4 linked regions of the Arabidopsis thaliana genome follow. The protein of the gene in region 4 purifies or fractionates together with the protein of the main gene of each other region. This does not show direct contact. Each region holds a gene or a part of one and is shown on either strand. Other genes may lie near its edges.

What was found.
Region 1: the proteins of CRR41 (region 4) and ndhH purify together in Arabidopsis thaliana (affinity purification with mass spectrometry, with the first as the bait; one study listed by BioGRID). This does not show direct contact.
Region 2: the proteins of CRR41 (region 4) and CRR1 purify together in Arabidopsis thaliana (affinity purification with mass spectrometry, with the first as the bait; one study listed by BioGRID). This does not show direct contact.
Region 3: the proteins of CRR41 (region 4) and ndhJ purify together in Arabidopsis thaliana (affinity purification with mass spectrometry, with the first as the bait; one study listed by BioGRID). This does not show direct contact.

What each region holds. Positions count from the first base shown.
Region 1 is NC_000932.1:121,398-126,976, forward strand, and holds ndhH (NADH dehydrogenase subunit 7), read right to left. Parts: upstream 1,796-5,579; coding exon 614-1,795; downstream 1-613. Other genes in the region: ndhA (NADH dehydrogenase subunit 1), read right to left, coding at 60-612; rps15 (ribosomal protein S15), read right to left, coding at 1,899-2,165. UniProt on the Arabidopsis thaliana protein: NDH shuttles electrons from NAD(P)H:plastoquinone, via FMN and iron-sulfur (Fe-S) centers, to quinones in the photosynthetic chain and possibly in a chloroplast respiratory chain.
Region 2 is NC_003076.8:21,165,486-21,174,775, reverse strand, and holds CRR1 (Dihydrodipicolinate reductase, bacterial/plant), read right to left. Parts: upstream 4,729-9,290; 5' UTR 4,574-4,728; coding exon 4,469-4,573; intron 4,381-4,468; coding exon 4,258-4,380; intron 4,170-4,257; coding exon 4,095-4,169; intron 4,008-4,094; coding exon 3,942-4,007; intron 3,856-3,941; coding exon 3,760-3,855; exon of another isoform or gene 3,619-3,759; coding exon 3,502-3,618; intron 3,298-3,501; exon of another isoform or gene 3,285-3,297; coding exon 3,192-3,284; exon of another isoform or gene 3,149-3,191; intron 3,143-3,148; exon of another isoform or gene 3,101-3,142; coding exon 2,999-3,100; exon of another isoform or gene 2,875-2,998; coding exon 2,788-2,874; exon of another isoform or gene 2,702-2,787; coding exon 2,669-2,701; 3' UTR 2,618-2,668; coding exon of another isoform or gene 2,613-2,617; 3' UTR 2,430-2,612; downstream 1-2,429. Other genes in the region: AT5G52115 (ribonuclease H superfamily polynucleotidyl transferase), read right to left, coding at 442-455; HCF208 (chaperone (DUF2930)), read left to right, coding at 823-982, 1,072-1,184, 1,270-1,341, 1,427-1,567, 1,647-1,800, 1,936-2,118, 2,613-2,617; AT5G52090 (P-loop containing nucleoside triphosphate hydrolases superfamily protein), read left to right, coding at 5,314-7,344; AT5G52080 (F-box associated ubiquitination effector family protein), read right to left, coding at 7,426-7,533. UniProt on the Arabidopsis thaliana protein: Dihydrodipicolinate reductase (DHPR)-like protein that may not function as DHPR in lysine biosynthesis. Required for both formation and activity of the chloroplast NAD(P)H dehydrogenase (NDH) complex of the photosynthetic electron transport chain.
Region 3 is NC_000932.1:44,432-51,573, forward strand, and holds ndhJ (NADH dehydrogenase subunit J), read right to left. Parts: upstream 4,723-7,142; coding exon 4,246-4,722; downstream 1-4,245. Other genes in the region: photosystem I assembly protein Ycf3, read right to left, coding at 35-160; rps4 (ribosomal protein S4), read right to left, coding at 792-1,397; ndhK (NADH dehydrogenase subunit K), read right to left, coding at 4,826-5,503; ndhC (NADH dehydrogenase subunit 3), read right to left, coding at 5,570-5,932. UniProt on the Arabidopsis thaliana protein: NDH shuttles electrons from NAD(P)H:plastoquinone, via FMN and iron-sulfur (Fe-S) centers, to quinones in the photosynthetic chain and possibly in a chloroplast respiratory chain.
Region 4 is NC_003070.9:18,930,298-18,938,231, reverse strand, and holds CRR41 (potassium/sodium hyperpolarization-activated cyclic nucleotide-gated channel protein), read right to left. Parts: upstream 3,934-7,934; 5' UTR 3,891-3,933; coding exon 3,255-3,890; 3' UTR 2,933-3,254; downstream 1-2,932. Other genes in the region: AT1G51120 (AP2/B3 transcription factor family protein), read right to left, coding at 1-141; AT1G51110 (Plastid-lipid associated protein PAP / fibrillin family protein), read right to left, coding at 748-820, 923-1,030, 1,114-1,193, 1,276-1,329, 1,417-1,509, 1,597-1,680, 1,763-1,954, 2,027-2,149 and 3 more; AT1G51090 (Heavy metal transport/detoxification superfamily protein), read right to left, coding at 4,485-4,906, 5,029-5,110, 5,236-5,247; AT1G51080 (golgin family A protein), read left to right, coding at 7,492-7,934. UniProt on the Arabidopsis thaliana protein: Required for both formation and activity of the chloroplast NAD(P)H dehydrogenase (NDH) complex of the photosynthetic electron transport chain.

The sequences.
Region 1 (5,579 bases), on a different chromosome or scaffold from region 4:
GATTCGTCTAGAAGAAACGGAATAGTAAAAATAAACGTTTCTGTTTCAACGAATCGCACGTAGAGATATTGATAAAACACATAGAGTTAATGGTATTTCATAACTAATCGATTGGGCAGCAGCTCGCAGACCACCTAAAAAAGAATATTTATTATTTGATCCATATCCTGACATAAGAAGTCCAATAGGAGCAATACTTGAGATGGCAATCCATAAAAAAATACCGATATTGAGATCCGCTAAAACAAGGTGATTGCTAAAGGGAATTACTGAATAACTTAGTAAAATAGAGATAACTGCTATAGATGGTCCAATACTAAATAAAGGAGTATTTCCTCTAGATGGACGAAGATTTTCTTTGAAAAGTAGTTTTGTCCCATCGGCTAGAGCTTGAAGAATTCCCAACGGGCCGGCGTATTCAGGTCCAATACGTTGTTGTATCCCTGCAGATATTTCTCTTTCTAACCACACAATTACTAGTACACCTGTTATGATTCCCAATACAAGAGAAAATATAGGGACAAATATCCATATGAGTCCATAGACCTCTTTTAAAGATTCCAATTTAACAAAAGAATTTATAGTTTGGACTGCTGTTGCATAAATTATCATTTTAACGATCAACTTCTCCCATAATTATATCTATGCTACCGAGTATCGTCATAATATCAGCCAATTTCATTCTTTTAACTAGTTCAGGAAGAATTTGCAAATTAATAAAACCCGGTGGTCGTATTTTCCATCTCCAAGGAAAACCGCTTTGATCTCCTATGAGAAAAATTCCCAACTCCCCTTTTGGAGCTTCAACTCTTACATAAAGTTCTTGTTTTGATAATTCAAAAGTAGGAGAAGGTTTTTTACTAATGAATCGATATTCAAAATCATTCCATTCTGGATTCCTTTTTCTATCAAAGCCCCTGCTTTCTAAATTCTCATAGGGACCCCCTGGAAGTCCTTCCAGAGCCTGTTGAATAATTTTTATGGATTCTGTCATTTCGCTAAGTCGTACTAAATAACGAGCTAATGAATCTCCTTGTTTTTGCCATTGAATTTCCCATTCAAATTCATCGTAAGACTCATAACGATCAATTTTACGAAGATCCCATGGTATTCCGGATGCGCGTAGCATTGGTCCGGATAAACCCCAATTTATTGCTTCTTCCCCACCAATAATCCCAACTCCTTCAACCCGTTCTAAAAAAATAGGATTTCGTGTAATGAGTTTTTGATATTCAACAACCTCTGTTAAAAAATAATCACAAAAATCCAAGCATTTATCTATCCAACCATAAGGTAAATCAGCCGCTATTCCTCCAATACGAAAAAAATTATGCATCATTCTCATACCGGTGGCAGCTTCGAATAGATCATATACAAATTCTCGTTCTCTGAAAATATAGAAAAAGGGAGTCTGTGCACCAATATCTGCCATAAAAGGGCCGAGCCATAACAGATGAGAAGCTATACGACTCAATTCCAGCATAATTACTCTGATATAGCTGGCCCTTTTAGGAACTTGAATATTTCCCAATTGTTCTGGTCCATTTACTGTTATTGCTTCTGTAAACATAGTAGCTAAATAATCCCATCGCGTTACATACGGTAAATATTGTATAATTGCTCGGTTTTCTGCAATTTTTTCCATTCCTCTGTGTAAATAACCTAATATGGGTTCACAGTCAACAACATCCTCACCATCTAGAGTAACAATTAAGCGAAGAACACCATGCATGGATGGGTGGTGAGGTCCCATATTGACTATCATAAGATCTTTTCCTGTAACTGGTCTCTTCATAAGTTTTTCCTTGATTCGTTCTGGCATGAATTAGATTTCTGAATAAAGAAGTTTATCAAAAAATTCAAGATCTAAAAAATTCACTAATTCACAATTTTTGAATTTAACGAGTTTTTAATTCCCGAATATTCAACTGATTAATTAATTCTTTATAACGTACTCTATTTTTTTTTGACAAATAAGCCAGCAGTCGTTGACGTTTTCCCAGAATTTTTCGTAGACCCCGCTGAGATAAATAATCTTTTCTGTGCAATTCCAAATGTGAAGTAAGTCTTCGTATCTTATTAGTGAAACTAAATACTTGAAATTCAACGGATCCCCTGCTTTCTTCTTTTTGTTCTTCAAATGAAATGACTATATTTTTTATCATAAAAAGAAATCCTTCCCCTTTTAATATGAATTGAAAGATATTAATTTTACTGATCAGTAATAATAATGGTAGTTTTTTTGTACAAGGATCTTAATTTAATTATCAACCTCTTAATTCTTCATTTTAGAAAAAAATCTAAATTTAGATCTCAAAAAGAAGGATTCTGTTAATTTATTTATGAATCCGCTATAATTGGTATCTATGTGATTGATTAAATTAATCTCATGTATAAAGATTTAATTTAAAACAATCCCTCATATTTGTGCATATAGTTGTTTTCATATACCGTAACTTATTATATATAGTAAAAAGTATTTATGATTAAGGAATTGGAAATCGCGTATACATGCGTATTCTTATCATACTGAAATGATTTCCGTTAGTAGTATTAAACCAATAGCGATTCATACAAGCTAAATCTTCTAATTTAAAATTGGGCCAAAGAAAGGATTTTAAATTAATTAAGTTATTTTTATCCTTATCAAGATCAAGATCTTTCTTTTTATGCAAAACGGTGGTCAAGTTTTGAATATTCTTATCAAATCTTGAATTTGTATCCCTAGCATTTTTTTTTTTTAAGTTGAAACAAATTAGAATTCGAAATTCTCTACGTCGTTTAGGGGATAGAATTTTTTCAGGGACAAAGAAATCATAATTATTTTTTTTTTTATTTACAGTTTTGTTTTGATATTTTGTAATGGATTTTTCAAAAAATTTTTTATTAATATAGCTTTTTTTTTTGTATCTTTTACTTATTTTGTGTTTATTTTTATGAACCAATGAAATACCTATGGTTCTATATATAATAAGTTGTCCATCGTTTTGTACAGACAAACGCACAGGTTCAATAATCAATATTCCTTTTTTCATTAATTTTGCAAAAGTGAAATTTTTCTCAATCATTAGAATGTCTAGGCTCATCTCTCCTCTTTCAATAGAAGATACCGCTATTTCGTTTGGATTGTTTAGTCTAACCAAGAGACAGTATACTTTTACATTATTGAGAATTTTTTGATTAAAAAAACAATTCCATCGCAATTGAAAACGCGAATATCTTGTCAGAAATAAATCAAGTTCCGCTTCTGTATTACTTTTGTATTGTTTTTTATTTTTACGTTTTTTTATTGTTGATTCTGCAAAATTTTCTTCAATATTTTTTTCTTGGTTTAATCGAGCTGCTTCGGGATTTCTTTTTGTTTCTTTATCTGATTCAAGTTCTACTTGACCGGCCGATTCTTTTTCTTCTTTATTCAGATTATAAAATCGAAGGGATTCTTTTTCATTTGATGGTATAAAACCTTTTTTCTTTCGAATGATCTTTTTATTAACATTTATGTTTTCATTAAAATTTAAAAGAAGTAATTTGATTGGTATGACCCATGGTTTCATTTTATATGTACTAGAAAATAAGAAAAATTCCGGAAAGAAAAAAAATTCAAAATTTGTTATACGCTGATTTAGTATTTCTTCATTCATTCCCATCCAATCAAAAAAGTTTCTTTTTTTATTAGCAAGATCCGTCTGCGTTATTTTATCAATTTTTTGATAATTCTGAACTTTAGTATTAATATATTTTTTTTTACTCTTAGTATCAACCCAAGGCTCAATAGTTACTTTTTTTGTAAACCAAAAGTTAAGAATTCTCCAATCCAAATATTTTCTATGCCGAATTTCCCCCATACCCCGAATATTATATTTTTCTAGAAAAGAAGAGACTAAACAATTATCTAGGGCAATGCCTATAGACATGTCAAAATTTTTTTCTGTAGAATGAATAGATTTATAGCAAAAAAGATTATATATAGAATCTTTTTTTACATTATGTTTTGGATTTAATAATGAGTCGGCCTCAAAAAATTTTTGTTTTTTATAATTATCAAATTTCTTTTTTTCATATGAATCCTCTTTGGTTAAACTTGGGTTTAGAACTAGAGAATCTTTATTTATTTTATTTTTCCAATTTTGGGTTACTAATCTAGCCCATGAAATCTGGGGTAAATTGTATTGATACTGACTTCGTAACCAGTTTTTCCATTGATTTACTTCGGAATTCAAAAAGGTTTTATTTTTCAATTCATAATGAAAGATTCCGTGTTCTTGAAAAAAAACCTTTATTTTATTCTTAACAAAAAAGGATGTTATGCATATGTTATATTCAAGAACAGCCTTTAATTTACAAAAGTTACTAACTTTAATTTGTGATAATTTGTAAAATACATATGCTTGTGATAAAGAGCATAGGTCATAACTCATTTTTTTTTTATTGGATATTAAATTTTTTATAGTCGAAATAAAATAAAGAGTATTTTTTTTTTTTTCTCCATTTTCTTCATTCTTGTAAATATATTTATCAAGAATTTTTTTTGTTGATTCAAAAAAAAGTTGTGTAGTAATTCTTGGAATATTAATGATACCTAGAAAAATAGCTATAGACATTTGTTCGATGCAAAATTTAAAAAAAAAAATGGATTTACGAATTAATCGGGTATTTTTTCTTTTGAATGTCTGCCAAATTTTTTTTGATGACTCAATTATTTTAGAATCATAACGCAGTTTGGTACAACTATTAGTTAAGTTTTGTTTTTCTTTTGAAATTTCTTCTATTTGATTTCTGATTGTCTTTTTTCTATCAATCAAATTTTTGATTTTTTTTTCGCTAAGTGAAGAATTTGTCCACTCCAAGGATTTATTTTGAACAGATAGTTCATGAATCATCTGATTACTTATTATTGAATCTTTTTTAGGTTCATTTAATTCATATATTTCTCTCGGGCCAAATAATGGAATTAGATTTCGTTTTGAAATTCCTTTTATAAAAATAAAGTTTTTGAGAATCCAGTTTTTAGTTTCTTTTGCGACTTTTAGGAAAATGGGTGCTCTTTCTTTGAAAATCTTTAAAACCACAAAAGACTTTTTTTTTAATTTTTTGATTCTTTTTTTTAATTCTTTAGAAATAGGTTCAAAAAAAGAAGGCTTTCTTTGGGCAGAACCAAACGGTAGTTCGGTTTCCATTCCCCAAACTGTTAAGAAACAAAAATCATTTTTTTCTCCTTTGTCTTTTGTTTTTTTTAGTCGAGCCTTCTGAGATGCTTGAAATTTAGATTTATGCCAAGGTTTAAGATAAAAAGGAAATAGGATTTTTATCTGAATACCATCCGTTAACCAGTTTCTTGGAAATTCTGTTTCGGATAGTTGAACCCCATTATAAGTACATTTAACATGCATTTCACGTTTCCAATCCTTTAAATCCTGGGACCACTCGGGAAATTGAAATAATAACATACGGACACTGTTTTTAATTATTATCAATAAAGGTAATATAATATATTTTCTAAGAATTGATTGAGTTACTAAGAGAGAACCTCTTATTATTTGAGCAAATAGGAAGCTATCCCAAGTTTCTGCAATTTCTAT
Region 2 (9,290 bases), on a different chromosome or scaffold from region 4:
TTCTTAGTATAAATCTCGAAAAGCTTAGATATATTTAATCTGCATATTTATTTAGTTTCTTACATAATAATCGTCTAATTTTTAGGCAAAGAATATGTATAGCATGTTTGGATTTTATGATCACTTTAGCCACTTAAGTGGATCTTAAAATTAAAGAGGATATATTGAATTAAAAAAATGTAGAAAGAGTGATGGTTCAAGTTCTGATTAATTATATCCTCCTATTTTAGTTGTTATGTTGAATTAATTACTAATTCTGTATTACTTATTTTATGAAGTCTAGGTGGCAAGCTCTTATGTGCTGATGTGTCAAGTTGTGGGAGAGAGTTAACCTCCTTTCATATATATGATTTATAAAAAAAAAGTCTTACAACCTACAGATTCATGTGTTGATCATATATCCTATCCTAAGAAACATTTTTTCTCATCATATGTTCTAACCTTTTTATATACATAATTAGTGTAAAAACAATAATAATAGTTCTAGATTCTCGAAATATTTACATGATTCCATAATTTCTTAAAACATTGCATTTTGTGGAACTATTGAACTTTGATTTCTTAAACACAAAACATTAGAGATGGCGGGAAAATTTAGCAATCCCGTTTTGTAAATAAATTACATAAAATGTTTGTGAAATTTTCAAAATCAGTTACAAAAGTAACAATTTTGGTTTGAAAATTAACTTAATAATTGGAGACGTTAACAACTGGGCCTGCTCTTAATGGGCCTCTATCTTACTGAGCAGAGAGGTTCTTCGAGAAATCATCAATGGCGGATACAGAAACTATTCGACTCGAAGACATCTGAAAGAGAGAGAGATGAGTATTCAAATTTGTAATTTCCCGTTCCATCCTAAATTCGCGCTACAACCTCGCGCCCAAAGGTCAACACGAATCTTCGCTCGTACAGAGAACGATTCTCCACAATCAAAGACATCTGATCAACAACTCAATCTCTCTGTTCTTCGCTTCACTTTTGGTATTTTCTTCCTTCCCCACTTCAAAGCTCAGATTTTTCCCAACTATTTTCGAGAAAGATTTGAAATTGATTTGTGTCTGCGTCTGTAGGAATTCCTGGGTTTGACGAATCTTATCTACCGAGATGGATCGGGTACGGCTTTGGATCACTTCTTCTTCTTAACCACTTCTCAGCTTCTGCTCCAATCAGTGAATCTCAAATGGTAATTAGTAACAATTTCGCTTCACAGTGTTTTTGCTATTTAAAGCTATGAACTTTAGCATTTTTTGTGAATTTTTTGGTGATAGAGATCAGAGGCTTTGGGTTTATCACTAGCTGCATTTTCAATAGCTTTACCTTACATTGGAAAATTCCTTAAGGTAAATTCATAACTTTTAGATTCTGTGAAGAAAAACTTTTGTTGTTGTTGTTCACTTATTTGGTGTTGTTTGGTTGTGTGTTTAGGGTTCTGTAGTGGAGCAGAGAAGTCTCCCTGAAGAAGGAGAGCAGGTTTTTGTGATATCATCAAATATTGGAGATTCTTTGAAAGAGGATTTAGCATGGGCAACGTATGTTTTGTTGAGGAATACAAGTACTATAGCTGTGGTATGGTGTACTCTCTTGGATAAGGGTTTGTTTGATCTTTGATATGTTCCTTAGTTGAGAAAGATTGTATTTTGTTCAGTTGATATCGGTTCAAGGCGAGCTTTGTGTTCGCGGGTACTGGAATTGTCCAGATCAAATGTCAAAGGCTCAACTTCATGATTGGTTTAAGAAAAAAGTGGATGAGATTGGCTTGGCTGATGTGAAGGAGACCCTTTATTTCCCTCAGTATGCAGGTATTGTGTTTTCTTCAATCGCACGGTCTTGAATTTGTTCAGCATTGTCGATCTATTGTATACCTGAATGCATGGAATATTACTCTTTTGTTTCTATGGTGTTGAAATATATGTTAACTTTCAGTTTTATTTTAGGTTCTGCACTATCTTTGGATATACTTCCTGATGGGACGCGTTCTCTTTTTGTGCAACCTCTCGTACAAAATACAAATGAACCGCAGAAAGTGAATGGGTTTTTGCTGGTGGCCTCTACTGCTGGATATGCATATAGCGATAAAGATAGAGCCTGGATTGGAGCTATGGCTGAGAAATTCAGAGGTTAGATTGTTCCCATGGATTAAAGGATTTGTTGCTTATTTTGTTCTGTTTTGGTGGGCTTCGTTGAAGTTAAAATTGTGCAGTCTCAACTTTGACAGACTTTTCATCTTGGTAATTATGCTTCGTCGCTGTTCCATCTGAATATGGGAGGAATTTGTACATTTCATAGAACGTTAATTGGACCAAAGCCAACTGTTTACTTTCTTTGCTGATTTAGTAATAAGACTTCTGAATGTCATGTTACTTGTGGATGACTACGTAGCACTGGTAATATACAAGCTTACTTGTGAACCTAAACTTCAAAATATCAGTAACCAAAAGCATTGAACATCTTATTTTCCAGGCCGTAAATCTATTAGTAATGTAGTAGTTGTTTAATATGAAATCCTTGGGATACTGTTCGACGTTGTTAGTGTTCTCACCTTAAATATTGAACACTCGTATCATGATGAAAGAAAATATCAACCTATTTCCTAACTTCATATGTCTTGCAGGATGACATGAGCTGTTCATGATGATGTTATCTTTGACTGGTGAAACACTTCAGTTCCTACAGAAATTTCTCGAGGCCATAAACCAGATTCTGGAAAACCAAAGAGAATAATGGCAAGTGATTAGATAACAGTAAGAGATTAATGGATGGAGAATTCTTGCTTGTTTCCATGTTACCTTGAGGCGTACCACCTTTCTGATTGCTAGGAGTAGGCCGGGCATTAGGGACCTTACGTCAATTATGTCATGTTTAACAGTGTAAACCTGTGGACAGCATTTTGTATCAGAAGAATTTTAATGAGCTATGTAGCCTAAATTTTAAAATAGAGTATCCAATTTTCAGTTTGATTTTGAGTGATCTAACAAGAGGTCAAGTATTATTAATTACGTCTCCTGGACTTGAGAAGTAGACTTGTGTACTAGATGGTAGTCCTGGTAGAACCATACTGTGAACACGAACCCCGTCTTCTCCGATTACTTGACCTCTTGCCTGGAAATATGTGGAAAACTCAGCTTTGTTTATGTATAATATGTACAGGATCCCTAACTGGTCCATATCTGCAAGCTTATTCATGCTTTACCTGAACATCAGTTGAACTATCCTCTCTGTTGTAGATCTGACCAAGATTTGATATGTTGTTTGCAATTTGGATAGCTTCAGGAGAAGGAAGATCCTGCATTTCATAGGTATCGTTTAAGTCACTTCTTGTGATTCAATGTCAAAAGCTGCATATGCGCTCTATATGAAAAAGCTCTATATTGTTCTTTCTTAACTAGCCTCTTTGAAGTATTATATGCCTTAATTAGTCTTGATCAACATTCCACAAGTGTCAAAGTTAAAACCCAGAATTCTAGGAAATTAAAATTGTTTTTTTTTTGTTTATGGCATACCGCTGCATTAGGCCTTGACTCCACTAGCTCTACATTGTTGTAGTGGAAGGAGGCCATGATCACAGCCTGTTGGAGAAGTATAGATCCTATGGATAGAGTTGGTGCTACAAGACATCCCTATAACGCAAGCAGAGACGAAATTAGATTTTAGTGAACCATCTCTCGTCTAACAATTGTTGCTTCAGGACAGACTCGACCTCACAAAGAAAGGGAACGTAATGAATAATCTGCGAGTATCTCATCTCACCCTGTGCTCACCATGGTGGCCTTGTCACATAGTGCAGACAACGCAGATACTGTCTCTGGCTTAATCCGAGGTACATACACCACACTCTTCATCCCAAATGCCGTTGCCTTGATAGATTCAGAAATCATTAACACAGTGATAGTTTCCATATTACTGGATATGAGCTTGACAAAAAGAGAAGTTAATTGGTTACCTGTTTTACATTCTCATACACTGTTGATGGGTCTGTAAAGTCGATCACAACTCCGACTTCTTTTCCCTACTAAAGACATTCGTTTAGGTTGTTCCGTAGAATTTAAATCTGGTGAGAACAGAGAGACAGGGAGGGTTAAGAAAATAATGGCACCTGAGATATTGAGCCTAACACCATTGTTAGATCACTCACTACAGGTATCTCTAAAGGCTCCTCCATGTCACACAGCTATGCAAGAACATTAGAGTTAGGGAGTCAATCAATAGATAAACCAACCAGTTGGAATAGTATACAGATGGGTTTTAAGCTAAGTCACCAAGCCAATATCTTCGCCAACAAAATGATTATCGACAGCACCAGCTAACTCCATTCCCCTAGCCTTAGTCACAGCCACCACAGCCGCTCTACCTATTTCCTTAGCAGCTCCATTTATGATTACCTAATAGGGAAATTAGAAGCATTATCATATCAAAGCTGCATTGTCTGGAAACTCCTGATTCTGATGATGTTGATGGTGATGTGATTACCTTAATGTTGTTTTGTGAAGGTTGAGAAGCAGAGCAGGAAAAAGAAGGCCTAGAAGGTTTGAGATGTCGTGATAGCTGGAAGAAATGGCAGTTCACAGCTGCCATTGCTCTAACCTCGGAGATAGCTTTTGTGTTTCTTTTTTTTGCTTGATGGTTTTCTCATGTTGATAAGAGATTCTTGCACTGTCCTTTGTCTTCTACTTCAAACGCTGTCGTCTCTGTTTGAGGCGTATGAATGGATAAGGTTACTTGGCTCTTCGTGTTTTTTTTTTTTTTTTAAACACTTTAATTTTTTTTTTTTAAACACTTTAAAATTTGGTTGAGGGCATTCTAAAAATTTTACACTAAGAAGGTTACTTTGCCAAGTTTTCTAATTTGCGGACAAAATTGAAACTTAAAATTTAACATTGATTTTGTATGGAAAATACGAGGATAGGGAAAAAAAATGCAATAAAAGAACTTGTTTCCCAAGAAAGAGATACACCAAACAGAGCTTGGGTTTTTAGGGGTTTTCTCTCTCAAAACAAAAAAAATTTAGGGTTTCAATTTTCCGGCCAAATTTCAAAACTTTCCATAGTCCAGAATCAGATTCTCGGTTTCAGGCGATCAGAGTTCTCGATATTAGGGACAATGTCCCACATCGGAAGTTGAGTAGGATCTTAAGTGGTATATATAAGATATGCGCCTCTCCACCTATTGCCAATTGGTTTTAGGTTGGAAGCCCACAGTCTAATATCGATATCACCTCTTGAGAACTATAGAGGTGATCTTAAAATCTTAAAATCTCTGTTCATTTGTCTAGATCGATATCACCTCTTGAGAACTATAGCTTCGGTGTTTTTCTAATGACTTTAACAACAAACACTCGAATTTGGAATGCTTTGCACAACGAAGCTGACATATCGACTCTAACCAAGAGTGTGCTTCAGGCTAATACTGAGGGTACAGAACAATGTTTTTGTTCTGAAAATGATGGGAGATCTGACCTTGTTTTGGATATAATCCGTTCAACGAAATTGAACTCTTCCCAAGAGGATGCAATCTTGGGCTGCCTTGAGACAAGAAACTGTACCCATAAGAACAGTGTGAAACTGATATGGGGACCTCCTAGAACAGGCAAAACAAAGACGGTCGCGACTCTTCTCTTTGCCCTTCTCAAACTAAGGTGCAAGACAGTTGTGTGTGCTCCTACAAACACAGCTATTGTACAAGTTACATCAAGGCTCTTATCCTTATTTAAGGAAAACTCGACAGCGGAAAATGCTACTTACAGGCTAGGGAATATCATTTTATCCGGAAACCGGGACAGAATGGGGATTAACAAGAACGATCATGTTCTTCTCGATGTGTTTCTTGATGAGCGTATTGGTAAGCTTGGTAAACTGTTTTCACCATTTTCTGGATGGATGCAGAGATTAGAGTCACTGATACAGTTTCTTGAAAACCCCGAGGGAAAGTATGAGAGACATGTCTACGAGTTAGAAGAAGTTGAAAGAATGAATGAAGAAGATGAAAGGGAAGAAGTTGTTGTTAACATTCCTACTTTTGGAGAATTCGTTCAGAAGAATTTTAATAGCTTAAGTGAAGAAGTGAAGACATGCATCGTTGATTTGTATACACATCTTCCCAAGGTTTACCTTCCATATGAAGATGTGAAGAAAATGATTGCTTCTCGTCAAACTCTTCAGCGTATCAGATATTTCTTGAGGGAGAATTCTTCTAGGGTTGATTTCGAGGAAGGAAATTTCAGATTTGATTGCTTCAAAAGACTCAGTGATGATTGCCTCAAGGCTCTACGCTTACTTCCAAAACGTTTTGAGATTCCAGACATGTTAGAAAACGAAGATATTAGGAAATTTTGTCTTCAAAACGCGGATATTATCCTCTGCACAGCCTCGGGTGCTGCGGAAATGAACGTGGAAAGGACAGGAAATGTAGAACTGCTTGTGGTTGATGAGGCGGCTCAGCTTAAGGAATGTGAATCAGTTGCTGCATTGCAACTTCCGGGACTGCGTCACGCCATTTTAATAGGAGATGAGTTTCAATTGCCTGCAATGGTTCATAATGAGATGTGTGAAAAGGCGAAATTCGGAAGAAGCTTGTTTGAGAGATTGGTTTTGCTTGGTCACAACAAACACTTGCTTGATGTTCAATATCGAATGCATCCTTCTATTAGTCGTTTCCCCAACAAGGAGTTTTATGGTGGGAGAATCAAAGATGCTGAAAATGTTAAAGAAAGTATTTATCAAAAGAGGTTTCTTAAAGGAAACATGTTTGACTCATTTTCTTTTATCAATGTTGGACGTGGAAAAGAAGAGTTTGGTGATGGACATAGTCCCAAAAACATGGTTGAAGTTGCTGTCATTTCTGAAATTATATCAAATCTTTACAAAGTTTCATGTGAAAGGAGGATGAAGGTGAGTGTCGGAGTGGTCTCACCTTACAAAGGACAGATGAGAGCAATCCAAGAGAAAATCGGAGATAAGTACAGTTCCTTATCAGGTCAGCAATTCACTTTGAATGTTCGGTCCGTAGATGGTTTTCAAGGAGGAGAAGAAGACATTATCATCATCTCCACCGTTAGAAGTAACGGTAATGGAAAAGTCGGATTTCTTAACAACCGTCAAAGAGCTAACGTGGCACTGACTCGAGCAAGACACTGTTTATGGGTGATTGGGAACGAGACAACTTTGGCTCTAAGTGGTTCGATTTGGGCAACACTGATAAGTGAGTCTAGGACACGTGGATGTTTCCATGATGCTACTGATGAGATGAATCTAAGAGATGCCATGAATGAAGCTTTGCTTGAGGATGTGTCTTCGAGTCTTGGATCTCTTTCGCTTAGGAATGGCCATGGAAGAAGAAATGTTTGGTAGATTTTTTATGTGAGCTTGTCTTATGTTTTTGTGTGTTTCCTATCAAAACTCTGTATTGGATTTTTATGATGTTTTATGGTATCAGAGCCCGATCCGCACATACTCAACCCGATCCACATCGGTTCGGCCCAATACTTGGCCCGCCGATCCATGCCCAAACATATCGAGATCAATGGCTAGAAGAGCCATCATCTCGAGGGGGCGTATTAGGGACAATGTCCCACATCGGAAGTTGAGTAGGATCTTAAGTGGTATATATAAGATATGAGCCTCTCCACCTATTGCCAATTGGTTTTAGGTTGGAAGCCCACAGTCTAATACTCGATCTCTAACGATCAGAGGAAGCAACATTGGGTGAAAATCCTAACCAGTTCGGTAGTACCTACCAGAGATATGAAGATATACAAGTTTCTCTCACGTACGTTCCGGTTAGTCCTCCATGGGTTTATGGTAATTACATGATCAACTCTCTCTAGTCTCTCTACCTTACATATTTGATGTCTTATTACACAAAAGTTTAAAACACCAAACAAGTTGGAAAAGACCAATATAATGATGTAACTGAATACATGCATTGGCGATTACTGAGCTTTCCTCGGCCACACTGGGTCCTTTTGGAATCCCAATTCTGTCTAGTTGGAGTCTATGACCTCACCGCACAATCGGTTACCTTTCTTTCTCTGCTCAACCATCAAGTTGCATCTTTTGGCTGATCATTCCACTACTACGAGGTATGAGATGATTTTCTTTTTCTATTTTATCTTACAATTTCTCATTCTTCAGTATTGATATGCTCTTACATTTTAAATCGGTGTTTGGAGTTTCGGTATGTTGTTGATGATTAGGTCTTTGGATATATTTGTCAACTGCGAAAGCTCTTTAAACCAATATGGACAATCCAACCAATATTGTTAAGGTGCAAGTATCCTCCCAAGATCCATGTACCTAGCAAACTAGAGTGTCAAATGGGAGTGTCTCTATGGAATGATGGGATACATGCATGTGGAGAAAGGATCCTCTTGCGGGCTCATGCCACTTGGAAAGATTCTGCTTCCTTCAAAGCATGTTGAAACGTGTTAGCAGGATGGGTATCCTTGTTCTCAAATACCTTTGAGTTACGGGCCATTCTGATAAACCACATAATTCAACAGAAGATCCGGATGACCTCTTTGCGGCCTCTTAATTCCTTCGCTTTCCAAAAAGGTAATCTAAGTTCACAAACAGAGAAGGCCTAACTCAAATAGGACATGATTAATGGCCTCTCTTTCATCCGACACCGGGGACATATGCGATATGTGCCTAGATGACGGTCTGGGGTTCGAATCCCAAATAATACAATTTATTAGCAAATTTGCAGATTAATAGAGGTAAGTGTGCAGGAGATCTCAAACGATGCACAATTATAGCCGTTCGTCAGGATTCTAAGCAGAGAAGATCATTGAAGGTGTCCATCAAAGGCATAGAGAAGAAGAAGAGGAGTTGTCGCTGTCGTGGATCTAATAAGGGTTGGAAGGAATTGTCCGTTGTAAAATCGTCTATGTAACAATTCTCATAATTTGCAATAAATAATAAACCTTAACGGCAAAAAAAAATCAAATATGATAAGATTAAGAAACTAACGTGTCGCGTGTACAACACATATTGATACGCGAGGAGGAGAGAGAGACAAGGTCGGTGCCACCCAAGATCTACGATCCGGTGCAAACTCCGCCTTTGACTTCACGAATCCACCACCAAACTCCTTCTGCAAAGTTCGCCATTGCAAATCCGATTGACTTCCACCGCTTCCATCTCGAAGATACTGCAAGAAGGTATCTTCAAATTTTCATCATCTAAACCATGATTCCTAGCAGAAGCTCCGCCTCAGACCTAGTTGAGGTCCTCTTCACAGTAGTCGACGAAGATATTACTTTGGTTAAAGATTGGAGATAAGCCAACGATGGGAT
Region 3 (7,142 bases), on a different chromosome or scaffold from region 4:
TCGGCGAGAAAAAAAATAATGATAATCAAATCGCACCATCTCTGTAATAAGTAAATGCCTCTTTTTCTCCGGAAGTTGTCGGAATGACTCGTAATAAGATATCGGCTACAATTGTAAAGGTTTTATCAATAAAATTTCCATTTATACGCGATCTTGGCATAGGTAGTAATCCATTCTCTAACTCTTTTTATTTCCTTTACCTTTTCTTTTGTGAGAAAATTTTCTCACAAACAAAGGAATTGTATAGTACGAACTAACATAAAAGCGGACTCATTAAAAAAAACCTTCTATCTACTTCCAAATTTTCCGGTCAAAAAGGGTATCTATTAACCATAATCTAAAAAACGATGAATAACTCGCTATTCACCCAGATACTCAGTCATAATCTTGATGTCGGAGAGATGGCCGAGTGGTTGAAGGCGTAACATTGGAACTGTTATGTAGACTTTTGTTTACCGAGGGTTCGAATCCCTCTCTTTCCGTACTTTCAACAAATTCACCAATCTTACGTGATTGACCACAATGTATCAAATCCAATAAAAAAGAATCGATATAAGATCTACCTTGTTTTGATTTTGAAATAGATTCTCTATTCCTAATTTCTTTCATATGGAAAATGCTGGGAAGAGCAAACAAGGGATCCCAATCTCCCTACCAATCTATGATACATGAATAGGAAAAATATTCTTTGACAAAATCCCTTACCTTGTGCCTTTTTATTTTTAATGGAAAAGGGGAGTTGTCCGAACTCTTGTTTTTAGTAATTTTTTTTTTTACTTAAGTTAGGTTTATTAAGTCTGTCGAGAGTAATATTCTACGACAAGCAATTCATTTATTTTCAAACCGACGCATTTCCTATCTATTATTTGATTGACTAACCCTTCATATTGGAATGTGTGAAGAGTCAGATGGTTTGGCAATTCCTCAGGGGCAGATGAATCAAGAAGATTTTGAACCAAAGTTCTAGAGTTTTGTTCATCCTTCACTGTAATAATATCTCGGGGTTTGCAGCGATAACTTGGTATATCAACTATACGACCATTAACTAAAATATGTCCATGATTAACTAATTGGCGCGCTTGAGGAATAGTCAAAGCCATACCCAATCGAAAAAGGATGTTATCCAAACGCATTTCAAGTAATTGTAGTAAAACTTGACCTGTTGACCCCTTGGCTTTTCCGGCTATACGCACATATTTAAGTAATTGGTGTTCTGTAAGACCATAATGAAAACGCAATTTTTGTTTTTCTTCTAAACGAATACGATATTGAGATTTTTTTACGGAGCGTGATTGGTTTCTAAGATCGCTTCCTGCCTTAGGCCTTTTACTAGTTAGTCCCGGTAAAGCCCCCAGACGGCGTATTTTTTTAAAACGAGGCCCTCGGTAACGTGACATAAAGACTCCTTTTTTGATTGAAATTGTACAAAACTAAATAAAATTAAAACTGAACTAAATGATAATGATAAATGACGTGAAATACACTCCACTATTGGAATACAAAGAGTAAGAAGATATATTCTCTCAATATACAGATTTTTTTTATTGTATATACAATATATATAAATCAACTAAATCACAAAAATTTTCCTTTATTTTCTTGATTAATTTTGCAAAGATCAAACTCTTTTACCCAATATATATTCCTAATATGGAAGTTTATATGACATAATATAAATGGAGTGGTAACTCTTGGAAAAAGGTCAAAGAAGTCTTTTCAATCTTCTTTGATTTTGAAAGTACATTAAAAATCATGTAAAAAAAAACGAAAAAATATGGAAAAGCCGGCTATCGGAATCGAACCGATGACCATCGCATTACAAATGCGATGCTCTAACCTCTGAGCTAAGCGGGCTCAAATAAAATAGCGCATGCATACAAATTCACTAAACTACTAGATCGTATCAATTAACTATTCTATTAATATTTTTCCTTATCTAGTTAGAATTAATGATATTCTATATATTCTAGAACAGAATATAGCTCACATAAATAGTGACTATCATTCATCATTAAATAAATAAAACATAACCTTAATTCTATATATATATCTATATAGTCATAGAATAGTATAGAATTATTAGAATTTCAAATTTACGAAGTAGACTTATAATTTTTTTCCATTGCACATTGTAGAATTCTAAGTTTCAATAATAATAATAATAAATTTCTTTTCATGAAAGTAAAAAAAAAAAAAAGAATCGACCGTTCGACTATTTCTGAAAATTTAAGCCAAAGATGAAAAAAAAAAGAACATATATATGTTATGTAATATATAACCATATTGAATTGCAAATACAAAAATGATAGAATCTTTGTTGATTAGACTAAATCAATATGGATGGAGCTCAAAAAAATAAAAGAAGATAACAAAGACATAAAATAAGTATCTATAATGTAATGAATCCCGAGGTTTCGGCATAAGAAAAAAAAGGAAAGACATCATAATGAGATCCTAAAAAAGGGGATATGGCGGAATTGGTAGACGCTACGGACTTAATTGGATTGAGCCTTGGTATGGAAACCTACTAAGTGATAACTTTCAAATTCAGAGAAACCCTGGAATTAACAATGGGCAATCCTGAGCCAAATCCTGGTTTACGCGAACAAACCGGAGTTTACAAAGCGCGAAAAAAGGGATAGGTGCAGAGACTCAATGGAAGCTGTTCTAACAAATGGAGTTCACTACCTTGTGTTCATAAAGGAATCCTTCGATCGAAACTTCAAATCAAAAAGGATGAAGGATAAAAACCTATATTGTATAAATTTAGGTAACACAAAACGATCTCAAAAATGACGACCTGAATCTCGATTTCTATTTTTTTATAAACAAAATCAAAATGTTGTGAATCAATTCGAAGTTTAAGAAATAATATTTCTTGATTAAAATAAAATTATTCACTTCATAGTCTGATAGATCCTTGATGGAACTTAATTAATCGGACGAGAATAAAGATAGAGTCCCATTTTACATGTCAATACTGACAACAATGAAATTTATAGTAAGATGAAAATCCGTTGACTTTTAAAATCGTGAGGGTTCAAGTCCCTCTATCCCCAGCTCTACTCCCCGAAAAGGTTGACACCTTACCTTTTTTTCGTTATTATTTATTTGAATTATTTATAATCTATATCATTTTTCATTTTCAAACTTAGAAAGTCTTCTTTTATTTATAAAATCCAAGAAATTCCCGGTCCACAACTTTTTGAATTTACTACTTTTGAGTTTCTTTTCATTGACATAGACCTAAGTCATATATTAAAATGATACTGATACTTCAGTAGATTATACTTCGGTAATGGTACACATAGCTTAATTGCGGGGGACTGAAAATCCTTGTGTCACCATTAGTAAAAGCAAGATGATCCTTCGGTAATGGTCGACATAGCTTAGTTGCAGAGGACTGAAAATCCTTATGTCACCATTAGTAGAGGACTGAAAATCCTTATGTCACCATTAGTAAAAGCAAGATGATACTTCAGTAGATGATACCTCAGTAATGGTCGGCATAGCTTAATTGCGGGGGACTTAAAATCCCTGTGTCACATGATAATGATCCTTCAGTAAAGGTAGACATAGCTTTTTTGCAGAGGACTCGAAATCCTCGTGTCACCATTAGGAAAACGAGCATGATACTTCAGTAGATGATACTTGATACTTCAGTAGACTAATGGTGGACATAGCTTTTTTCCGGGGGACTTGAAATCGTTGTGCCACCATTCGTAAAACGAGGATGATCCTTCGCCGGGATAGCTCAGTTGGTAGAGCAGAGGACTGAAAATCCTCGTGTCACCAGTTCAAATCTGGTTCTTGGCAGAGGATTTATTAATTTTGATAAGTTTTTATTCTTCAAATTAAACGTATCTTTAGTAAAAAAAGTGCAATTATGCTTTATCCCCTCTCTTTTTTTTGTTCATGTTGTGAATCCAGCCGTTCAAAAAGAATGTATAATACTTGATACATAATACATATCCGAAAGGAAAGGTTAAATGAGTTCCGTTGAATCAAACAAGTAAAAAAAGGTCTATATGTATAGTATACTATAGTTGAAGGGCAAAAATACCCCAAGGTTCATTAGATACAATAGAAATAGAATTGTATCCCCCCCTTCATTTATTGCTTTCCGATCTTATTTATTCATTCCCAGTTATGTGACTAAAGTTGACTAAGTTATGTGCGCGATACAAAGTTCATAATGCAGAACTCTTTTTTTTTAGTTCATCCTATTGGCTCATTTTTTATCATTCAATAAGCATCTTGTATTTCATAAAAATTGGGGGCAATATAATCCTTACGTAAAGGCCACCCTATCCAACTCTCGGGCATTAGGATCCGTTTCAGTCGTGGATGGCTATCATAAGTGATTCCTAACATATCATAAGATTCCCGTTCTTGAAAATCCGTACTTTTCCAAACCCAGAAAACGGATGGAATTCTAGGATTACTCCTGTGAGTAAATACTTTTATGCAGACTTCTTCCGCTTGATTAACACCATATTCTATTCTCGTAAGATGATACACGCTGGCTAAGAGGCCACCTGGTGCCACATCATAGGCACATTGCGAACGTAAATAATTGTAACCATATACATATAAAATTACAGCAATAGAATGCCAATCTTCGGGCTTTATTTGTAAAGTCTCTATTCCTTGATAATCGAAGCCCAACGATCTATGAACCAGCCCGCGTTTGGCTAGCCAAACGGACAAAGTGCCCTGCATCTTTTTTATTTCCCCCACACCTTTTTTATATAAAATTAAGTATTTCACATTTACCGTTAATTCTAATTTATGAAGATTTTTTTCTGATTCTCTAAAAGCCTCCCTAATTCACTAATTCGTGGGACGATACTGGACTTTTGTATTTAAAAAATGTTTCAGTAGAGATCTCTGAAGTAGATGATGGTGGATAGAGTAGTTCTTGATCATAATTTCCAATATGCGGACTGCGTACAACAAAAAACTTGTGATTGGTAGTAAAACACCGATTACCCTGTTGAGGTCTAATTCGATCCTTATAGATTTCTCTAGCTATTTTCTTACGAAGCTTTGTTATAGCGTCTATAACAGCCTCTGGTTTAGGTGGACAACCCGGCAAATAGACATCTACAGGAATTAGCTTATCAACTCCTCGAACAGTACTATAAGAATCGGTACTGAACATCCCCCCTGTAATTGTACAGGCTCCCATAGCAATAACATACTTCGGTTCAGGCATTTGTTCATATAATCGCACTAAAGAAGGAGCCATTTTCATTGTTACTGTACCTGCTGTTAAAATAAGGTCCGCCTGTCTAGGACTCGATCTTGGTACTAACCCATAACGATCAAAGTCAAATCGGGAGCCTATTAATGAGGCAAATTCAATGAAACAACAACTGGTACCATAAAGAAGCGGCCATAGGCTGGAAAGTCTTGACCAATTTGAAAGATCATTTAACGTAGTTGAAATAACGGAATTTTTTGTTGTTCGATCAAGTATGGGAAACTTAATGGAATTCATAATTGTTTCAATGGTTTTTTTTACTTTTTTTTTTTTTATTATTGTATCAAGTATTCGGTAAACGAACTAAGACCATTCCAATGCTCCTTTTCGCCATGCATAAACTAAACCAAGAATTAGGATAAGCACGAAAATGAAAGCTTCTATAAAAGCAGATACCCCCAGTACATCGAAACTCATTGCCCACGGATACAGAAAAACAGTTTCAACATCAAAAACAACAAAAACTAGAGCAAACATATAATAACGGATTCTAAATTGTAACCAAGCATCCCCGATCGGTTCTATACCTGATTCATAACTAGAAAGTTTCTCCGGCCCCTTCCTAATTGGAGATAAAACTCCGGAAATTAGAAATGCCAAAACAGGAATAGCACTTGATATTAGTAAAAATGCCCAGAAAATATCATATTCGTAAAGCAGAAACATAGACGAACTCCTATGAATGTGGAAAAAATACCCGCTTAGTCAATTCCAATCGGAGTGGATTGGGCAAGGGATATAGAACTCTTGAGTCAAAACAAAAATTCAGGTTAATCGAATCATTTTTTTTCGTTTGGTTGTTGTGGTAGACGTCTCGTTTTAAGATTTATTGATTTCTTATTTTCAGTACACTTATTACTTAATAGTTCCATGTTTCTATTACTAATAGTTTCTAATATAATAATATAATATTAATCTGATTAATAACTAGTAATTTTTTTTATTTCTGTTTATGTTTAAAAAAATTTTTCGAAAAATCTCTTCGTTTTTTAAATGATGACGTATCAAAAAATCCAGTAAGACTTTACCATACTCATCTTACTTAGTATTAGATAGATTGAATTTTGGTTGAATTTAATTAGATTTCTTTTTTTATTTTTAAACAAGGCCGTGTGATAAAAAAAGTAACCAAGATTGAGTGGGGATACAAAAAAAAAAAGAAAGTATTATGAACTTTTTGATTGTAGCTAGTGAACGAGGAAAATTCATATAAAAAAATTACAACTATGAAAATTAATGAAGAAAAAGGTTTATTCTAAATTATAAATTAAGTATCTATCTCGATATATCGATAGATAGTGATTGGCTCCATTGAAATAAAATGAAATTTTCCGTTTTATTCTGAACGATCCCCAGGACTTATGGTTTATGATATGGAAATTTTTTTTATGAACCGAGCAATTAAAAGTAACCTGTTAGAAATAAAGAATACAAAAAAAAGTAAAAAAATTTATCCAATTATTTTGATTTTAATGTGATTTTTTAGAATAAATTTCTTAGTTAGGGCTATACGGACTCGAACCGTAGACCTGCTCGGTAAAAGAGTTCGAACTTATTATTATCAAAATGATTCGAACTCTTTCAAAGACCCAACATGCATTTTTTTTTGCATTGGGCTCTTTCATTAACTGATCGAAAGATCAGTTAGTCTACCATATTTTTTCTTAAAAAAAAGATAAGAAATGGTTCCAAGTACTCTGATTGATTATTTTTGAATTCTAATACAATACAGAAGAACTACCAAAGTGTTTCAAAGAAGGGTTCTCTTGACGTAGGTTTGCTTTTGGTCTAGATCAACTTAAGTTAAATATAGTCTCTAACATCCTGATTAAAAAATCAAACATGAAACTTGATACACCTTAAGGTTCATAGGACG
Region 4 (7,934 bases):
GAATTTCGTCGTGTTGGACAAGGCAGGTTTTGTGGTGGTCGTAACCTCAGTAGGTTTCATGCGTTTCGTGAGGCTCAAGACAGAGTCAGTTAAGCCTGAAGTCTCTGTCGTTGTCTTGGCTACATTGCTCATCTCGTCCATATCCATAACAAAAAAATACAAAAATCAAGAAAAGGACAAAAAAACAAGAAACAGAGGAAGAGAGAGAGATGTTCGCAGGGAACAAGCAAAATGAAAACAGAAGAGATTAGGAAGAGTATTTGAAGGAGAGATTTGAGGGAGTAAATCCTGGAAAATCAGTATTATGTTTCTCTGTTGGTTTTGTTAACAATGAATCTTTTAGAATGTTACAGTTTCCATGTTTTGTTTTGTTTTTCTAGTTTTCTCTCGGTGAAAAAATGGCAATTTACAGAGTAATTAATGCCACCAGAAGCTGTTAGTGGTAAGTTTCCTTTGTTAGTGAGATATTCGTATTTTCTTTGTAGAAAGAAATATTCAGTGAATTTGTTTAAGATTAAGACAAAAAGTAAAGTTTTCTTAATGTTAATTTTGTCTTAATTTAGACATTAGTAGCGAAAATTATATCATGTGGTTTCTTGTTTTTTCTGGTTCCTGTTACATCCAAAAAAACTAATGAACAGAGAAAATTTAAACTATCACCTTCCATTGTTGTAAAACATTTGACAGTTTCTTACATACTATTTTTTTTCATATGTTCAAATAAGAGGTTCTGATAGAACAATGCAGCTAAATTTCTCGGATGTGCACAAAGATAATGTTATCGAATCCTCGGCTTATCCTCATCTTCTCATCTGTGTACCTACAAACATTAAAGTAAGCATCTCTGTATTAGCAATTCAAATGCATTATTATATGTTGTGATTTGTGAAAGTAGTAGAAGAAGAAGATAGAGAGATCTTACAGAATTTTTAGCTCGATATTGTTTGTTATATCGACCGGATATCCAAATGCACCGCCTATAATTGCTGCGTCGTCCATCTTCAAGTCATATGTACTGCTTTCTGATTTTCTGCAAATCATTCATGAGACCAGTCAAGAAACAAGATCACAAAAAAGTTAGCAAAATGACTAATCTAAAAGACAGAGACTTACATGAATTTGCCTTTCATGGAGAATCTAAATGCCGGAATGATGTTAACTTCAAACTTTATCCTCCCATCCTTCTCAATGATCTGAATAAGATACTCGATTTCGCTAAACGAAGCCAGCTGAAGCAACAATAGACTACCTAAGACATTCTAATAAAATGTTTACCTGTCTTCCCATAAGACCATTTGCTGCATTTTCAATCCAACTATCTGTATACATCTGCAAACACAAAACCCGAAAAATCGCTTATCCAAACGAATATAAGTGCTTGTTCAAGACAAAAGCTAAAGTTATCAGAGAAGTGACCTGTGAACTCCAAATCATTTGCCAACTTCCTTCTAAAAGCTCATAATTATCTTCCGCGGAATTAGAATTAGACGCAAGAAACTCATCGATAGCCTGTGTTTATACTAAACGATCCATTGGTTCCATTTCAAACCGAAACTATCGATTGTTTTCAGATTTCTTGAAGGCATGACACATTACCTCAGCTACTCCTTTGTCTTGAGATATGGTGGCTAACAATTTCTGCCTAGGCACGGTTTCTTTCTGAAGAACAAACGTTGTTCCCTGCGCTACAAATATACAGCCTCATGGATAAAAATGCTATAAAGCTTTAATTTTCTTTTTGAGAATCAAGAAACTCATTTACCTTGTTTCCCCTAGAAATCCTAAGGTTACCTGAAGGCGACAAATAAGTAGTATCTAGCCAACCTTTTGCTTCATCACCAAGAAGTCTAAAAGGAACTGGATATGGAACTTTGAAAGGAAGGAACTTCAAATCAAAAGCGGCTCTATCAAAACGGAATAAAACTCGTTTCCCATCTTTGATCGACGCAACTGCCTGTAAAATGAAACAATTCAAAGTATAAACATCTCAGTCTTTTGATGCAAAGACTTTAGTGAAGAAACTCACCTCAACTTTCAGCTCTCCAATGAAATCAGAGAATTTAACAATGTTTGAAACACGAGGATCGTTTGTTGCCTTCAAGTATACATCTTGAAACACAGTGAACACATCAACTCCTGTAAATGTTCTCTGCAGAGACAAATCCTTCCATTGCTCTTCTTCTTACACACAAATTACAATCATCTAGAAAAAATGGAGATATGATGATGAATGTGTGAGAAGAACTGACTTGGATTGGAGATGCAGTTCCAGGTCTTGTGGTGAACATCAATCGCCAACGACCTTCGATTAGGTCAGAATCTGTCTAAACATTTAAACAACATTCCCCAAAAGACAACCAAATGAGTCAAAGAACAAAACATAACAGAATTTGGTAATTTGAAGATAAAAGGATTCACAAGAAAACATTTCATACAGGATTTTGAATGCCTTCTAAACCTTCAAGAACTTTCACAGCAGATTCAACATCCTACAACAGAGAATCTCTCAAATCATAAACACGACGGAAAATTAAAGAAAGTTTAAAGTTTTTACACACATTGAGCTGTTTAGGAGAAGCAGATTTGCCACGGCCTTGAATTCCGATCAAAGCGTCAATGAGTTTCAACTCAGCATCATTAAAAGACGATTGTTGAGTTTGGTCAGTGACAGTAGATGAAGATGAACAACTGATTCGCAGAGTTCTACAGTTTCTAGACAAACCTAGTCTCCTGCTTGTTGTGTTAAGAAGATTGAATCTCGGAGAACACAATGAAAGAGAAATCGGCGATGATGGGCATGGACATAAACATGGTAGCGACATCTCTACAGCGTAGAATCTGACTGCCACCATTGTTGCTGTCTACTGCTGCTTGTGAAGCTTTTGTTAAAATGATTAAACTTTGCATTTTTAATGTGTGGTGTACAATAAAGCTTGAGTCTTGGTGAAATATCTTGAAATATGAAACTAGTGGAAGTAAAATTTTCTCAACTAATTAAGTTTTTTCCTCCCAAAAACCCTTAAGCTTCCTCACAAATTGCAAAACCAAAAGCATGAATCTTTGTTTTGATTCTTCACATGAGACTCTCATCTTCAATCCTTCTTCTACCATTAAAGTAACAGATGAATGATCCAGAGATGATTACAGAACCAAAAAAATAAGATCTTTTACAGATGAAGAAGCTCTGTTTTGTGTAAAACTATAAACAAAATTCATAGACTTTTGACTCAATTTGCAAGTAGAAGAAGAAGGAATTAGAAAGAATTAGCAACAAGAATAGCTTGTCGACACCGAGCTCTAGCTTGTTCAATCCTCTGACTCAAAGTTTCATCTTTAACAGAAGCTTTAACCATAGCTAAATCCATCTCCATCAATTTCAAAACCCTAAAAAGCTCTGTAACCATTCTCTCTTCAACTTTACCTTCATCTCTCAAAACCTCAGCTTCTTCTCTAGCTCTCTCTGCAACAATCTCACCAGCTTTAGCTAAAAGCTCCTTTGATCCAAACTCTCTCGCCATTAAAGCTTCGAACTTTTCTAAGAAATCCATTATTACATAACCTTTAGGTTTCTCCAAGTTTATCTCTTTTGTTCTTTTCCAACCGATTTCGAAGTTTGGTGGCTCTGGTTTCTCGATTCCTCTTTGTGTTCTGTCTCGTATGATCTCTGATCTTCTTCGTTTCTCTATTGGGAATTTCTCTGCGCTTGTTGTGTTGATTGATTCAGGTGCTGGTGTGAGATTGATGAATTGATCCTTTGACTCTGGATTCGACGAACATTTTGTTGAGAACTTTGTTGTTCGACGAACGAAGCTATTGGTTCTTATTGGGACTGCGATGTGAAGATTCTTAGAGGAGAGAGATGGAAGAAGAAGTGTGGAAGTGGAAGCCATTGATTTAAAAAGCTTAGAGGAAGAGTGTTAAAGAGGGTTTTGAGAATTGGAGAAAGATAAGGCCTTCTCTGGAGTTACAGTACACTATAGCGTCGTTTAAGTGTTTCAGACAAGAACGTCACGTCGTTTTTAGTTTCCGTTTAAACGGTGTCGTGTGGAGGTGTAAGCACCACGGCTGCTCTTTTCACAGTAGAAAGAAACAGTGTCATCTGTGGATAAGTAAACTGTAAAAACATAATAGTTGAGTATTCATCGACTCATGTCACTCATTGGAGAGGCCGGTCTCAGAGTTTTTAGTTTCCATTCTTTCGTGCTAATATACTTTTATTTTCTAACAGAAACTATATTTTTATGCGAAAAATCTTACTATTTGTATTTTACTACCAAGAAAAGAAGAGCAAATAAAAGTTGTATTAGAACCAAAACGTGATATACACAAGAAACAAAACCCTGTAGTGTTTACATACATAAACGAGGACTCGAAATAGAAATACTGGTAAGACGAAGACAATTAAAAATAACTTCGTGTAGTTATTTATTTGCTGGTATATACTATAGTCTATATATGAGTAGGAGGAGACTTGGTTCAGTGTTTCACATGATGGAGCATCCTTGAGAGTTCATATCTTCGTGGCAACATTGTCGTCCACCTCCCCAGCTCTCGTAAACGGGCCTTCCATAACATTGGTACTGTTGGGCCTCGTAATACGGCCCACAATGATACGGCTGCCACATCGGCATCGGTTGAGGAGCGGAAGACGAAACAAGAACAGGAACCGGAGCCGGCCGAACAAGAGCTGGGGCTTGGGCTTGGGCTGGGGCTGGGGCTGGGGCAGTAGGCTTCTGAGGTGGTTGAGGCTGGGGTTGAGGCGGTTTGGGTGGCTCAAGGATCACGATGGACTTGATAGAACCGTCTCCTTTGTAGCAAAGTTTGTTCATTAGCCTCTCAGGATCGTAACAAACTACTTTGATGATGATCGTGTTGGACTTCTCATCAAACAATTCGTCTGTTATTTCTATTTTTTTTTGCAAAACAACACATACCACAAAATCGTATCCATTTATCAAGATTCAGAATCTTCTCAACCCGCAATAATTCAAATGAACAAAGAAACTCAAATTAAAGAAAGAAACTCACGAGGGAATTTGCGGATAGCTTTCTTGACCTTTTTGTAGCATTTGGAACAGTTTAGATCCACTTTCAATTTCATCATCACTACCTGTTTGTGCATATCATATAATTTCATGATCATTATTACCTTAATTAGTAACTCTATTAGAGGGTAATTATGGATATGATCAATAAAAGAGAAGTAATATGAAAATTCAGATCTTGGTAAAGTACCTTCTCCGCCATAGCTTGGGAGTCTTGCTTGAGTCACCAAACAAGTACAAGAACACAAGTATTTTATGTGTATTCCTTGCATGATTCAATATATATAGAAAGTGATATAAAGAGAGACTTAAAATGAGAACAAGAAAGAAAAAGTTTATTATTTCTTTCGGTTTTATCAAATGAAAATATCTAATTTTGTATCTAAAATGACGTGTATGAATTTATGAAACACGGTGTATCACACATAATTTCGAAGTTTCTGAAGGTGACGCCGACATCAATTACGCACACAGCTGAGAATTACCAAAACGGGCTCACATTAGTCAGTGCACGACCACAGTTCAAGTGCTTATAGTGGTCCAAGTTTTCTAATAATTTTGGGTTATTCTTCTGTGGTGCGAAATAATGAGCCGACATGGATGAAATGGTTGTAAAAGGACTGTCTGAATTTGATGTTTCCTTTAAGACTCTACCAATCAACTAAAAAAAATCAGTGACTCGTATTTGTATATCAAACAAGAAAAGAACAATAGGACGACAAATTGATAGAATCCAATTTTCTTATCTGAAAAAAATGAAGAGAAAATGTAATGCGAATCTTATAATCAATCGTGAGATCCGTCCTCAGATATTTCTGGATTTTACATGTCCTAATTCCTGATTTTTACTCTCATATTTTCTAACCTTATATTCCACTGGCGAAACTATAAGTAACATTGGAAAAGTGAGTAAATCCAAAACAAATGGATTCAAGTTCAAAATAGTTTAATCATGTATATATAAAAATAAGGTCTCATTTTTAACAACCAATTTTTCAAAAATAAAAATAGAATAATATTTATCTCCAATTAACCCACAAAAACAATAAATTTATTCACATTTATTAATCAACCATTGAATACTAAATTGTAACTATCATACTAATTGTGTATTAATTATATTCTTCTTCACTCATTGTCATTCAAACAAATTAGAATTGTAACTCATGTAATTTAGTTACATTTAAAAGGTAACTTCAATCACTTTTCATTATGTAAATAATCATTCTCTCTCATATTTTTCTACCATATCTCAAATCCTAAATATTTTCTTTGTTTTTATGTTGTTGTGTGGCTTGAAAAATCAACTGCGATTTCATTGAAAATGTTTGATTCTAAATTTATATGTTTAGAGACGATATGGTATATATATATATCTTAGCATGGTTACATATTGTGGTGGCTCTAACTCGTTGTTTGATCTTATGCATTTCTAAGATCTTAATCATATTTCATAGAGACACCAACCATTTGATGATATTACCATTTTATGTAGCATCAGTATCACAACTACAACAAAACCGCGTCGAAAGGTTTCTTTCAAGATATGTGTTACAGGCAGCAATATATAGTATCTGAAAAGAAATAGATGGGAGAAGACATGAAGGCAAGAAAAACTCAGTCATTACTCTAATCAGATGGACTGACAAGTAGATTTGAAACCAGTTCAAGTAGACAAACGGTACGACGAATGACACCAACTGTTATTCGGGTTAAGACTTTAAAGCTCTCGGCTCTTCCACTTTCTAATTACTTGAACTGTTTTAAATATTCATATATTCTCTACAAACCTTTGTATTTAATGTTCAAACGAATATTTTTCTTTTGAATACAATTTAACATTCTCTTCTAAAGAGATATTACCATTTTATGTAAGAAAAATTTCTATGTATGTCCATAGAGAAGCAAAAGAAACTTATTCTCCTTTCCAGTTTAATCAACTTCCCGTTGCCTACAACAAATAAGATTTTTTGGATACCAAAATAGACTAACATAATATATTATGGAGTTAAAGTCAATTTTTTAAGCTTTAGATTTGTTTTCTGATATTGCTTTTAAGAATATGTTTGTATGAATTTCAAAATCTCTGCAATATGTCTTGAATTTTGATTCTAATGATTTACTCATGAAACTCCAAAGAGATTTCATTTCAAATCAATTAATATACAAAGATTTTACAAGTCTTTTAGTTTTGAATAACATTGGATTTTAATGAAATATTTAAAATCTTAATTGAATAACACCAAACTTTAAAATCTATTAAACATGATTTACAAATATGAGTTCCAATAATACTAGATTTTAAAGCTAGATTTAGAATCATTAGTTGAATAACAGTAAATTAGTGTTGAATTTCAATTCTATTAAAATCCATTAACGAATAACACCCCCTAAATGTATTTTATAGGATTCAAGAAAAAATAGACAATATTTTGGGGACACAACAATGAGTTTCTCGGTGGTCTTGTTCCACAGTCCTCACTCTGCTGCAGTAACAACAAAAACCATCTTCAGAATCTCATCATCATCATCTTTCAGACCAAGAAGAAATCTTTCTTCATCTAATGGTATCTTCTCCACCAATCAGTCTAAACCCTTAATCAAAAAACTTCAAATCATCGAAACCCTAGCCGCCAGAGACACAATCATAGACTTCGGCAAACACAAGGGCAAAATGCTTGGTACTTTGCCTTCTTCTTATCTTAAATGGGTCTCAAAGAATCTTCGTGCAGGAGTTTTTGAGTATTGGGCAAAGCTTGCTGATGAAGTGCTCGAAGACGATGTTTATAAAGATAGAACTGAGTGGGAATTTGCAGAGAAAATCCTCCATGGAAGTGATGAGAGCATGAGAGCTTTAACTTCTGTAAGGAAGAGTAGAGAAGAGGTAAA